Linked DNA regions of Caenorhabditis elegans. The protein of the gene in region 1 interacts with the protein of each later gene in a pairwise test. Each region holds a gene or a part of one and is shown in the gene's direction. Other genes may lie near its edges.

What was found. Proteins that work in one complex are often made in the same cells at the same time.
Region 2: the proteins of skr-10 (region 1) and W08F4.12 interact in a two-hybrid assay, tested with the Caenorhabditis elegans proteins (one large-scale study listed by BioGRID).
Region 3: the proteins of skr-10 (region 1) and nlr-1 interact in a two-hybrid assay, tested with the Caenorhabditis elegans proteins (one large-scale study listed by BioGRID).

What each region holds. Positions count from the first base shown.
Region 1 is NC_003282.8:15,944,895-15,947,891, forward strand, and holds skr-10 (Skp1-related protein), read left to right. Parts: upstream 1-1,912; coding exon 1,913-2,491; downstream 2,492-2,997.
Region 2 is NC_003280.10:582,461-586,227, reverse strand, and holds W08F4.12 (F-box domain-containing protein), read left to right. Parts: upstream 1-1,810; 5' UTR 1,811-1,837; coding exon 1,838-1,929; intron 1,930-2,167; exon of another isoform or gene 2,168-2,253; intron 2,254-2,675; coding exon 2,676-2,800; intron 2,801-2,862; coding exon of another isoform or gene 2,863-2,870; coding exon 2,871-3,004; 3' UTR 3,005-3,214; downstream 3,215-3,767. Other genes in the region: W08F4.13 (F-box domain-containing protein), read right to left, coding at 73-940, 1,310-1,392; fbxb-14 (F-box associated domain-containing protein), read left to right, coding at 3,479-3,767.
Region 3 is NC_003282.8:12,175,283-12,180,335, reverse strand, and holds the start of nlr-1 (Neurexin like receptor 1), read left to right. Parts: upstream 1-2,000; coding exon 2,001-2,052; intron 2,053-3,263; exon of another isoform or gene 3,264-3,312; coding exon 3,313-3,482; intron 3,483-3,615; coding exon 3,616-3,757; intron 3,758-4,332; coding exon 4,333-4,595; intron 4,596-4,645; coding exon 4,646-4,753; intron 4,754-4,876; coding exon 4,877-4,937; intron 4,938-5,053. UniProt on the Caenorhabditis elegans protein: Required for gap junction formation, playing a role in anchoring the cytoskeletal component F-actin to the membrane of adjacent cells and thus facilitating the formation of gap junction channels in embryonic cells, muscle cells and neuronal cells.

The sequences.
Region 1 (2,997 bases):
GAAAAAGAAAATTTGACTGTTTCAATTGGTTGTTATAAACTTGGATACGATTTATATAGTATTAATACTGAACTAATTATACACATTAGAAATACTATAGGAATATGACAAGGAAAGTGCTGGAAATTAACTCAAAGATGCATACGTTTTTGTAATTGGAGAGGTGAAAAAAAAATTACTGTTTCTAAAATATACCAAATTTCGGGTAAAAATTAGGGGGTATTTCTCGGGAAAAAAATATTGGACTAATTTGCAAAGAATCAAAATTTAGGTCCGTTTTTATAAAACTGTTATGTTTGTTACTGTATTCTAGCAACTATGTTAATATTTGATCTACAAGTCTCAGACGTAGCAAGGTAGCAACCAAATTGAATTAAGTCGGAAATGGAATAAAAAATTGGAGAAACAAATAGAATGCATTGAAAAATGGAAAAAAAGAAAGAACAAAAAATGCGACTACTCACAATGAGAAGAGAATGTATAAATGACTCCTCACAATCAGGCAGACTGTTTTTTTCCAGAAAACGACTGGGACGCTGCAAATCTAGGTCAATTATTGATATTGGGTAGAGAGAGTTCAATGCATTTCTAGGAGGTTTAGAAAAACAGACAGTGCACCTGCTCTAGGATTTCCCTAACAAAGGTCTTTTCTCTCTAAACCTCGCCTATAACACAATGTCTCATCTCATCCTGTCAAAATTTGACCTACATTTCCAGCGTTTTTAACCGAAGCCAGTTAGGCTATTGGTCATTCTTGCATTTAGCTCTCACCCTGGGCAGCTGCATTTTATTTTTCCTTCTTTTTAAATTTTTTTTTTTTTTGGTTTTTCGTTCTTTTGTTTTATCAATGACCCAGAATCTGTTTGTCTGAAAACCTTAAACTTTAAGCATTCAAAGTTCTAGTCCAATTAAAAATGTTGAACTCTCTAAAACTATAATACCTGTTTGATGCAGTTTTTATAATAAACTATTTTTGAACAAATCCCGATCGAGAAATAAACTTGATAATTACTTAAAGTTGTACCACTAATAAAACCGAAAAATCACTTTAAAATTCGATTACCTATAACCTTAAAAAATATTCTGATCTTCTAAAAACCTCCTAAAATGTAATTTGAGAAAATGTCGCAATATTGCAAAAAAAATTTAAAATCAATTCTAAATTTTGCTATTTCGAGGTGTTATCAAATTTTAGCGCAAGCCTTATTCGAATATTGCATTGGGATTTGCTTTCTTCTTTTTTTTTGTAAAATTCATATCGAGGATATGTAAACCAGTTTGTCAAATTTGTTGCTTTAAACCCCTTTGGATTAATTTAGGCTTACACTATTTCAGACCACTTTTTGATCGATAAAATATTAGGGGCCTCCTCAACAACCTTGTCGGTTGATATTAAACCTTTTTAGACAAATCGATATTTTTCGAACAAACGCAGCGTTCCATGCTGTTGATTTTGCGTGTATAACTCTTCAATCAACTTTAGATGCAATACTATATAAATCTTATCCAAATGTATAACAACCAGTTGAAACAGTCAAATTTTCTTTTTCTCGTCGCGTTCAACTTGACGGCATTTCTCATCATCTCCCTGTGGAAAACTAATCAATACTTTTTGAACAAACGCAGCGTTCCAATCGATCGATTTCTAACATTTTTTGAGGGATAGTCTGTCTGCAGAGTCATTCTATCGTTTATATCTCATTGTGAGCAGTCGTCTACATTTTTTTCTATCTTTCTATACACATTTCAAAACTATTATCTAACGTTGTTACCCGAAATTATAACAGCTGTTAGATACAGTTCTTTTTTTTACTTTTTGAAATCAGATTTTCCTACATTTTCTTAACTTAATCATCTTTCTTTATTTTTTCAACCCATTATTTTTCCAGAAACTACTCTAAAACTACCAACAATGTCCGCTGAAGTCGCTGCCGTTGAAATCCAAGAAGCTCCAGTTGCTGCTCCAATCATGTACAAAGTTGAATCAAATGATGGAACAGTTTTCGAAATCAGTGATGAAGCAGTAAAACAATCAAATACACTCTCCAATCTAATCTCTACATGTGCTCCAGAAGATGTAGCTTCAATGGATCCAATTCCAATTACAAATGTCACTGGAAACATCCTGAAGATGGTCATTGAATGGTGTGAGAAACACAAAGGAGAAGCACTTCCAGTTGATGATGACAGTGTTCCAAAGCATATCACTGTTCCCGAATGGGATACCAACTTCTTGAAAATCGACAACGAAGTGCTCTTCGACTTGATTGTTGCCTGCAACTACCTTGATGTGCCTGGATTAATGAATTATGGATGCAAGATGGTTGCCATGATGGCTATCGGAAAGTCTCCTGATGAGTTGAGAATCATCTTTGCAATTCCAACTGATGAAGAGGATGAAGCTGCTGAGAGAGCTGCAAAGGAGAAGGCTGAAGCTGAGAAGAAGGCGAATGCTGAGAAGGACGCAGCTGAACCATCGACTTCCAAATAATTTCTATGTATCAAGTGTTTTGTGTTTCTTATCAAATAAATAAGTTTGACTGTAATCTTGTTGACAAACATTACACAAAATTTTTATTAACAGTTTCAAGGTGTTGTTTTGAAGAGTTATTCCTAAAATGAAATATTCCATAGCAAGGTTCTAACACAGAATGCACTTTGACTATCTTCTTGTTGAAACATTTGGAAATTTTGAAAAAAAACATCTACTGTTTCAATATGTTGATTTTAAGAGTGAGGCTAAACAAGCAACAGTAAGTTTTTATTTAACCAAAAGCAATTACGTTTGAAAATGTCACAATTAAACCTTATAAACTAGTGTTGAAAGGGCATTCAAAAAAAAACTCGCGTATCTAGTTACTTTAATTCAAAAAATTCAAAAATACCATGCCACTTTTGCGGAAAAGTTTGCAATTTTGTGCGATGCTCAAAAATGTATTCACATATATCAATTTTTATGTTGGAACGTTTACTACCTAGCAACAAGAACTCCAGTAA
Region 2 (3,767 bases), on another chromosome or scaffold:
AATTATTTATTGTATTTTTGAAAAAGAAACAATATTCACAATCAGGCGAATAAAAAATACAGAGTCAATGAGCTACATCCATATGCTCGCAAAGTGTCCAATCCACTCGTATTCACCAACAACGAGAGTAAAGTAAAAACGAGTTGTTGAATAAAGCAAGACGTTCGCGATGGTTCCATCATGTCTCTCAATTGTAAACCTTTTTACGGACTGAACTTCTTCCTTTCTAGTATACTCGATTTCTTTGAAAAGTGCGCATTCATCAAAACGGTTCTCAGTAATGTTCCGAAAACGGATAGTGATTGATTTGAGACTGGGGATAGCTCCTCTTATCCACTGTCTTACAAGGATGTTCAGATCTTTGATGGAAAAGCTGTCACAGGTTACGATAAACTCTGAACAATTAGAGAAAAATAAATCGTCTAGGGTCATTTTTCCATAAGTGAGTTGTAGTTTTTTAAAGTTTTGCGTGAGGGTAGGTTTAGAAATTGGGCCATTTAAAACAATCAAATTTTCTAGGCAGGGAAAAATTTGAGACAACTGACAATATTTAATGTCATAACAGCTAATTATTCCCAGACTAACTACTTTTAGTTCTTTAATATGTTTCTTAGCAATTTCAAAGAAATGGAACGATGAATCAAAGAATTCCACAGATACTCTTTGATTTTGAATAAAAACTTCAAAAATATGTTCAAGCCATTTGATATCACTGAATGCTTGTACATTTAGCTTTTTAAGTTGATATCGGCCACTGATACACTGGAGAATCTCAACAATCGACTGTTTACTATTGAGAGTTAATTGAAAACCATGAAAAAGGGTTGTGTTTAGCTTTATCAATATCGATGGTCTCATAATTATTATGCTAGCCAATTGACATCTGTTTAGCATTGCAATGAGTTGTTTGATCTTCTTCGAGAGCACTGATAGAGAGATGCTGAACATGAAAAATGTAAATAACTCATTAAAATAAATTTGGAACTTGTGGTTAGATCCATGCATTTTAAATAAAATATATTTTTGCATTAATTGTAAAGGTGTGCTATTCTTTTCTATACATATATTGCATATTTTGGTAATTTATGACAACTATCTGTAAAGTTTTAATTTTAAAAATTTCGTCAGCTAGGTTCTGGAAATTCACAAATGACCATTTTCCAGATTGAAGGTATTGGCTATCGAATGACATAGCTTTCATCTTTTGGCTGTTGCCTAGACTATGATAATTCAACAATAATTCTCGTACATTCCCAAATAAAAATTAACTATAGAATACAGAAGTATTAAAATTTCTATTAAAACTCACTGTTCTACTAGGCTCATTTGTTTGAGCGTTTTTTGAAATATAGATTGAGGGAGACGAAGGATGGGAAAGGAGACGGTAGTCATGCCGATGTAAGATCACGTATAATAATAAAGATGGTACTGAGCAGATAGAGAAAGATGAGAGAGAGAGGAGAGGGAAGGGGGTGGGAGAAATGCAGATATCTTTTTGTTGGAAAATGCCACTCGCCTCCCCCCGTTCTCACACCATCTAACGAGGAGTCTACTGTAATCATACACACAGTCCCCCAGGTGTGCTCGTTTTGCAGCGTACTATAAAGACGACACATCAGACTGCAACAAGACTAATACGCACACTGACCGCGTTCTTCTAAAACGCTCTATTTTCATGTTCTCTTCTCTTTGTCTGTTTGTTCTAAGGACCATTTATCCTTTTTTTTTTATTTTCAAGCAAATTAATTTCTTTCGTTACTTTACGTCTTCTTAATTTTTTTCTTGATTTTCAAGAAGAACATTCGAAAGTTTTCAGCAGTTACAACCATTCCTTGCCATGGGTGACACAACTAGGACCCCTTTTCCTCTTCTGCTTCTACCACAAGAAATCATCAGCATTACTCTTCGACAAATGTGCCTCATTGAGCAGTGAGTTTTAATACCTTTTTTTAATTCCACACTAATTTGTTCGCAAGGGTAGGCGGCAATATACCATTTTCGGCAGTTCCAAACTTCTGCAATTCGTCAATTATTGAGTTCAAAAAGTTTGGAAAAAACTAACTTCTACTCTACTCGGCAATACGGTCTAACTTCATAGCATACTCTTGCAACTTCTTAACAACAATTAGGCATGTTAGCTTTTAAGCAAACTTCTGCAGCTTTTCAGACGACTTTTTCAATTTCTTCGCAGATGTAAAGCTAAATTTCGCTCACAATCCCGTTGGTTTTCGCAACTTCTTCGCAAGAAATACGGTACATATGTTTTAATACGAATAATTAACATGAAAAACATAAAAAATGTAGAAAAAAACTTTTTTTTTTGGTCGACTTCCAAAATTATGAGTGGCAAAAACTGAGTAATTGCCACTTTTTTGCAGTTAATAAAAAACTTTCAGAAATTTTTTGAAACGTTTTATTGTGATATGCAGCCAATGTTCCAAAAAGTACACTGAAAAAAATTAAAAAAAAAAGACATTTTTGGCAACTTACCAAAACTTTTGCTGAAACTTTAACAATCTGAAAATTTTTGGACAGTTTCATTTTGATATTCGGTCAAATTGAACTATTGAATTCATACTGAATCCCCACTGACGATTCATTCTTTAAAAAATTAATTTGGAAGAAACCCCAAAATAACAGCTTCAAGTTGACTCCCAAACCTTATGTTATTTCAGATTCTCGATCTCTCTACTCTCAGCAAAAGCGAAAACTGCGGTTGCCAGAGTCAACGGGAACCACGAAAGTGTGTCATTCTCTGATTCGACAATCAGGCTGAGGTCCAGTCTCAATGACAGATATTGTAAGAATCTTCACGATCCTTGTACTCTCCCACCGTCATACAAGAGCATTACTTTCGTATAGTCTTACAGGTCCAGCAAGTGATGTCGTAGCGGATAACATCACGGTTATCCGGCCAGAACCGCTGCCCAAGACAACGACTAGGCCTGCCAACGTTTGGAGGTCACGATGCAAGCGCGCCCCACCGGACGGCGCGCGGATCTGAATTGCCGGCGCCAACTCTAATTGTCATCATTCTCGACTTTTCTTGGCCCCGCCCAATTCCCCTATATAAGGAGCCGGAAACGCTCATTCTAGGTCTTCTCTAATTCCTTTTACTTGTGTTACTTATCGTCCTTTTCCCCTCCTTACATGTCCCATTAACTCGGTGATTTCTCTATTAATTTATCCTTAATAAACCGTAATAACCTCAAAACCTCCAACTCTTATTATTCTTTAAAGAATTAATTTGGAAGAAACCCCAAAATAACAGCTTCAAGTTGACTCCCAAACCTTATGTTATTTCAGATTCTCGATCTCGCTACTCTCAGCAAAAGCGAAAACTGCGGTTGCCAGAGTCAACGGGAACCACGAAAGTTTGACATTCTCTGATTCGACAATCAGGCTGAGGTCCAGTCTCAATGACAGATATTTATTCATATTTAAAGAAAATCCACCGAGGGTGGTAGCTAGAAGGAATATGCGAGGATCTGAAGACGAAATCGAGATTCCTCACCTCACACTTATCAAGTTCCTGGACCACATCCACGAGGTTTTGCATCAGAACCGGCAAATCCACATTAACCTCGAAAATGGGATGAATGAAGAGATAAAAACGATTTGTTCTCTCTTTGAGAACAGGAAGATCGCGAGCTGCAGCACCACATCCACGGAAGTTCAGGGGCACCATCTCTTCGGGACTCATCCAGAGAACCTGGAGATTGTCGTGGTCCCAATAAGAAAAGAACTCTTGGTTCAAAATTATGAGG
Region 3 (5,053 bases), 3.8 Mb from region 1:
GTGCACCAAGAAAACAATTTGTAACTTCTGTTCTTCTAATCTCTCCACTATCACAATACTCTTTACACAATCAAATTTTTTAGGATAGCTGTTTTATTTCTTTCTAGGTTTCATGTGTTTTCTTCCTCGAAAAGTTCGAGCGTTTTCTCAAATTTTAGGTTTTTGAACATTAGCCCATAAAACACATAAAAATCATAATAGGAATATAAAAAACATTTTTTCTAACTATTGCAATTTTCAGCACTCTTCTCCCGTTTTGTTTGAATAAAATTTGTATCGAAATTTTTTAGGAGCATGGTTTTCTACTTTCATTCAAATTGTGTGCGTAGTCTTTTTTATATTTTTAAAAAATATTTTAGCGAAGATTTTTAAAGTTTAAAAATTGAGAACTGGTCTTCAAAAAATCTAGAAAATTTCAAGTTCTTCTAATTATAAGTCAACCACATTTTCAATGACTTTTTTTTCTAAGAGCTAACTTTTCAAAAAGTTGTTGTTTTAAATTGTAAGCCATTCTCCGTGGGCCACAAAAATGTATGCCTACCTGCCTTCAAGGCGACCTACGCCTGGCTCACAACTTTTGCAAAATTACACATAAAATCTGTTATTTACTACCCTGTTACTTGTTGCTTCTATAACTTACATTCAAATAATTTCCATTGCAGGCACAAGTGCAAAAGTGCCTGCATGTTCTTAGAGTGGTGGTCTTGCGTAAATCTATTTTTTTTTTCTCTAACAAAAGCCCACATTAAAATTTGGAAAATGGGCGAGAGGCAAGCCTAAATTAGTTACGTACAAAACCGTAGCCTTTTTTCCTCATTTACACAATATTTGGTATACATAAAATAAGAAATAATAATTTAACGTACCTCATCGAGCTCTGCAATTATGTCATTTTAAATATCTTATGAATAAGTACAGGAAATCTCAACTTTCTTCCTCTCCCGACCACACCAACCCCAGACGATCCTTTGTTCATTTACCCGCCAACGAGCTTTTCCTATTCGGAAAGGTTCGATCTCAAAAGCAATGCACCGCCCGTAATTGCATCCAATTGTTATTGTTTTGCCACTATTGAGACGTTCAGATGATGAATTACGAATTGCTTTTCCCTCCACCAGTTTTCCTTTTCCGACGCCCCGTATCTCCATTTTGATGATTTCTTCGTAAATCGTTTATTTTTTTTCTTGCTCGAAAAAATGTGATTTTTCAATGTGATTTTTTCTCTCGATTGCTCGAAGAATTATTACATCATTTTTCGACTTGTAGAATGCAAATGCTTTGAACTTTTTTAAAACTTGATATTTGCAAAGGTTTTTTTCAAATTAGTTGACTACTAAACTATTCAAAAATCTCGCTTATTTTTTTTATTTAATTTTTTTTTTACTTTTTTTAAAACCAATATATGAAAAGACATTCTTCGTATTTTTCCAAATAGTTTTGCACCGTTACAGCTCCACTTTGCCAGTTGATATCTCAGCTACTTTTGATTTTATCAAAAAATATTAAATTGCTAAAATGTAGGTTCAAGATTTTTCTACATTTTACCAACTGTAAATTTTTTTGATAATTTCAAATATGCAAGATATGAGCTATCAAAAAATATAATAGATTTCAGAAATTCGGGCACACATTTTCCTGCCTGCCTGCTCACCTTAAAGGCAACCTACTCTTACCTCGTACCTCGTTACCGCGCACTATGCGTATATCTGAAAAATTACAAAAAATGTAGGCAGTAGGCAGATAGGCAGGTACATTAATACATTAAAATTTAACATGCATTTTTCAATTTTTTTGCATTTTTCAATATCTCAATTTCAAAATCCCTTCCCCCCCTGTGTGCTCAACTGTTTCATTATTTCATCGATATCCTCAATAAATGAAGGAGTAAAAAACTAATATTTGCTCACTTTTTCGTGCTAAACGCTTCTCCATTAAACCTTTCTCACTGTTTTTTTTTTCAGAAAAACTCTCCCCCACACACATATGCCCTCCGGATTCGAATGAGTGGCCTTTGCCTTGTGCTTCTTCTCTCCATCTTTGCAGTTTCACAAAGTGAGTTTCTAACGAGGGAATCGTTTAATTTCATTTCCATCAAGAGAACGGACACCAATTTCTATATTTCTTGCGACTTTTGACACCACTTGCCCTTTTAATAGACGACTAGGGGATTAGCGGAAGGTTGCCCCAAAATGTTCTTATTCTCGTTTCCGATCTTTTTGTTGGATGAGATGAACTAAAGCCATAACTCAAACATTGAGCATCACCGAGAAGACACAAAAAAACCACAAAAACCAATGAACGGCAGGTGTCATTGGACACTAAATCGTCAGCAGTGGGGGTCTATGAATAATGAGCGAAACAGAGAGAGAGAGAGGAAAACCATCTGTCGGTTAGAATGTGTTGTTGTTCATCCTAAATGCTTTAGTCCTTTGAGTATCCGTTGAGCATACTTTTTGAAAAGATGTCAGGATTCTGGAGGACCGGAAATTCGTGAATTTGAATTCGAGTGGTCACCTCCCCCATGCAACTCATTTGAGCGAACACGGAAAGGCTACAATTTGGACACACGCTCTCTATCTTTTCAAGTGGCACAAATTCTTTTAGGTTTAGGGATACTCTTAAGAGCTCAAGGATTTACATGGGTTCTGTAATTGGGTAGTTTTGTTGGAAAATTTTTGTCGTTCTGTGAACCAGAACGATATTTGAATTTCGGTATACCAAACTAAAAATGTTCCAACCTAATTTTAGCCATTTGAGTAGAGCTTGCTGTCATACATTGGCAACATTTTATCGAATCTTTAGCAAAATCCTATAGAGCTTTGGAAACTTCCTGTTGAATTTTGGGAATTTTCTTTCAACTCTTTGCTAAACTCTGGCAAAATTCTATTTAAAAACAACTGAAAGTTTCCTATCAAACTTTGGAAACATTCAGTGAAAGTTTGACGCTTTCCATCAAATTTTTGCAACTCTTTTTTTTTTCTTATCAAACGTTTGTGCATAGTTGAATTGTTAAATTAAAGAAACCATCTCAAACAAGAAAATAACTAAATTAGTCCACTTTGTCTCTTTCAATCCTTTGATCCTTCACATATGCTCTAACCGAAAACCATAATTGTATTATGCAATGTGGCTTCTCGTCTCTCAAAACATAACCGAAGGGTGTCCTACCAGTCTCCTGGATTAGCACTACGAGTCATCGCAGATGGCTCAACTCGTCACACCGAAATAATCCTGTTTAACAAAGACCTTTTACACATGTCTCTGGACACCACCCAAAAAAGATCAAAAGAAAATATTACAAATTTCTTGCAGGCTCGGGCGAATGTAGCGACGTCTCCTTCTCATCCGTCGCATCGAAATTAGACGGTCTAAAGAGAGTGACACGTTTGTCGGTCAGTGGACATATTTCTGCATATCACGTCAAGGTGTCCATCTCGGATGACGACTTTCAATTGGTTCGACTCTCGAATGGAAATCCACTGGTACGATGCCATCCCTCAAGGGAATTATCTCTTATCTAGAGACACCGACAAAAACACAAAGTGTCCCCTCCATCTGTTTGAGGGCGACAAGATTAATGTGCGAAGAGAAACATGAAAAACCATGTCGTTTCAGGTCCTCTATTCAACGTTATCAAATACACCATCGTGGACACATGTTGACTTTTTAGCCACTGAAGTTCGCATATTTCCGGCGTTTGAACAAGCGACAGAAGATGTCAGGGGACCTTTGTTGATTCTCACGATATGTGATTATGGTAGGTCAACAGAGAAAGTGGGAGTTGTTAAAAGTATAAGTATGCATGTTTATTTGGTATACAGGTTCAGCAACTGATAAATGAATTACCGTAGACTTTGATTGCCTCTTGTTTTTGGTTTTTGACAGTATCAAAAATATGTCAACTGATAGAACACTTTTTAAATATTTTAATTTGAATTATAAGTTCAAAATGTTTTAATATGTCTAAAATATCCAATGAAAAGCTATGAAAGTGAAGGTTTGTGGAGACACATATGTTTTTGCTTGCATGCCTTCTATCGACACAATGGGCAGGTACCTGAAAATGAAAGGTACCTACAGATTATGAACACCTTGATTTTAATATTTTTAATTGAATTTTCAGTTTTTCAGACATGAAAAATCTTTAGAGACTATAGGTTTAACCAAAATATTTCTACATTCCAATTTTAAATTAATGAAAACTTCACTGAAAATTTGTCTGGTCAGGATAATTTGAAATATAGATGTATTTATTTTATTTATTTAAAAGGTTAGGCCCAGAAACCGGTCTTTATTTAAAAAAAAATGTATTGAACACCAAAATTATTTCAGACACTCCGATCACGGCATTTGATGACTCTTCATACACCGTAGAAGCTCATCACGCAGGCCTTGTCTCAATGTATGAGAATGATCTTTGCGTTGTCTTTCGAACCTATAGATCAGGAGTATTCTTCTTCTCAATGGCTGATCAAGGAGATGTACTAATTGCACAGATCATCCATGGAACTGTTCATGTTATATTTGATTTTGGATCTCTTACACCATCTAGAATAAGTGCTGGTAAAGCATTGGATGATGGAAGGTGGCATGAGGTAATCCTTAATTTTTTAGATCATTAATCTCATTTGTGACCTAATTTCAGATGAGATGGCTTCATCAATTCGACTCTGTGCAACTGTCAATTGACGGTGTCCTCCTTAACCAGACGGCTCCAACGGGTCTTTATCGAAAATTGGACTTGCATAGTGTGGTGAGTGCTCTTGAGGTTCCAATTGTTGAATGAAATTTGAGAAGCGTTCCGTTGTAATTACCTTCATGAACGAGGACCACCCGTTGTGTCTGTTGATCTGCGGATTATCGCTCTTACTTGCAGGTACATATTGGAGGACGACCAAATGATGACTTCTCGCAAGGGATTGAGACTACATTTACTGGTGAGTTCATGGGAGAATGATTATGGGATTTTGTATATATATTTGGTGAAAACGAAAAACAATCAAATCTAAATAACAAGAAGGTTATAGAATCAATTTATTTACTGATTATGAGT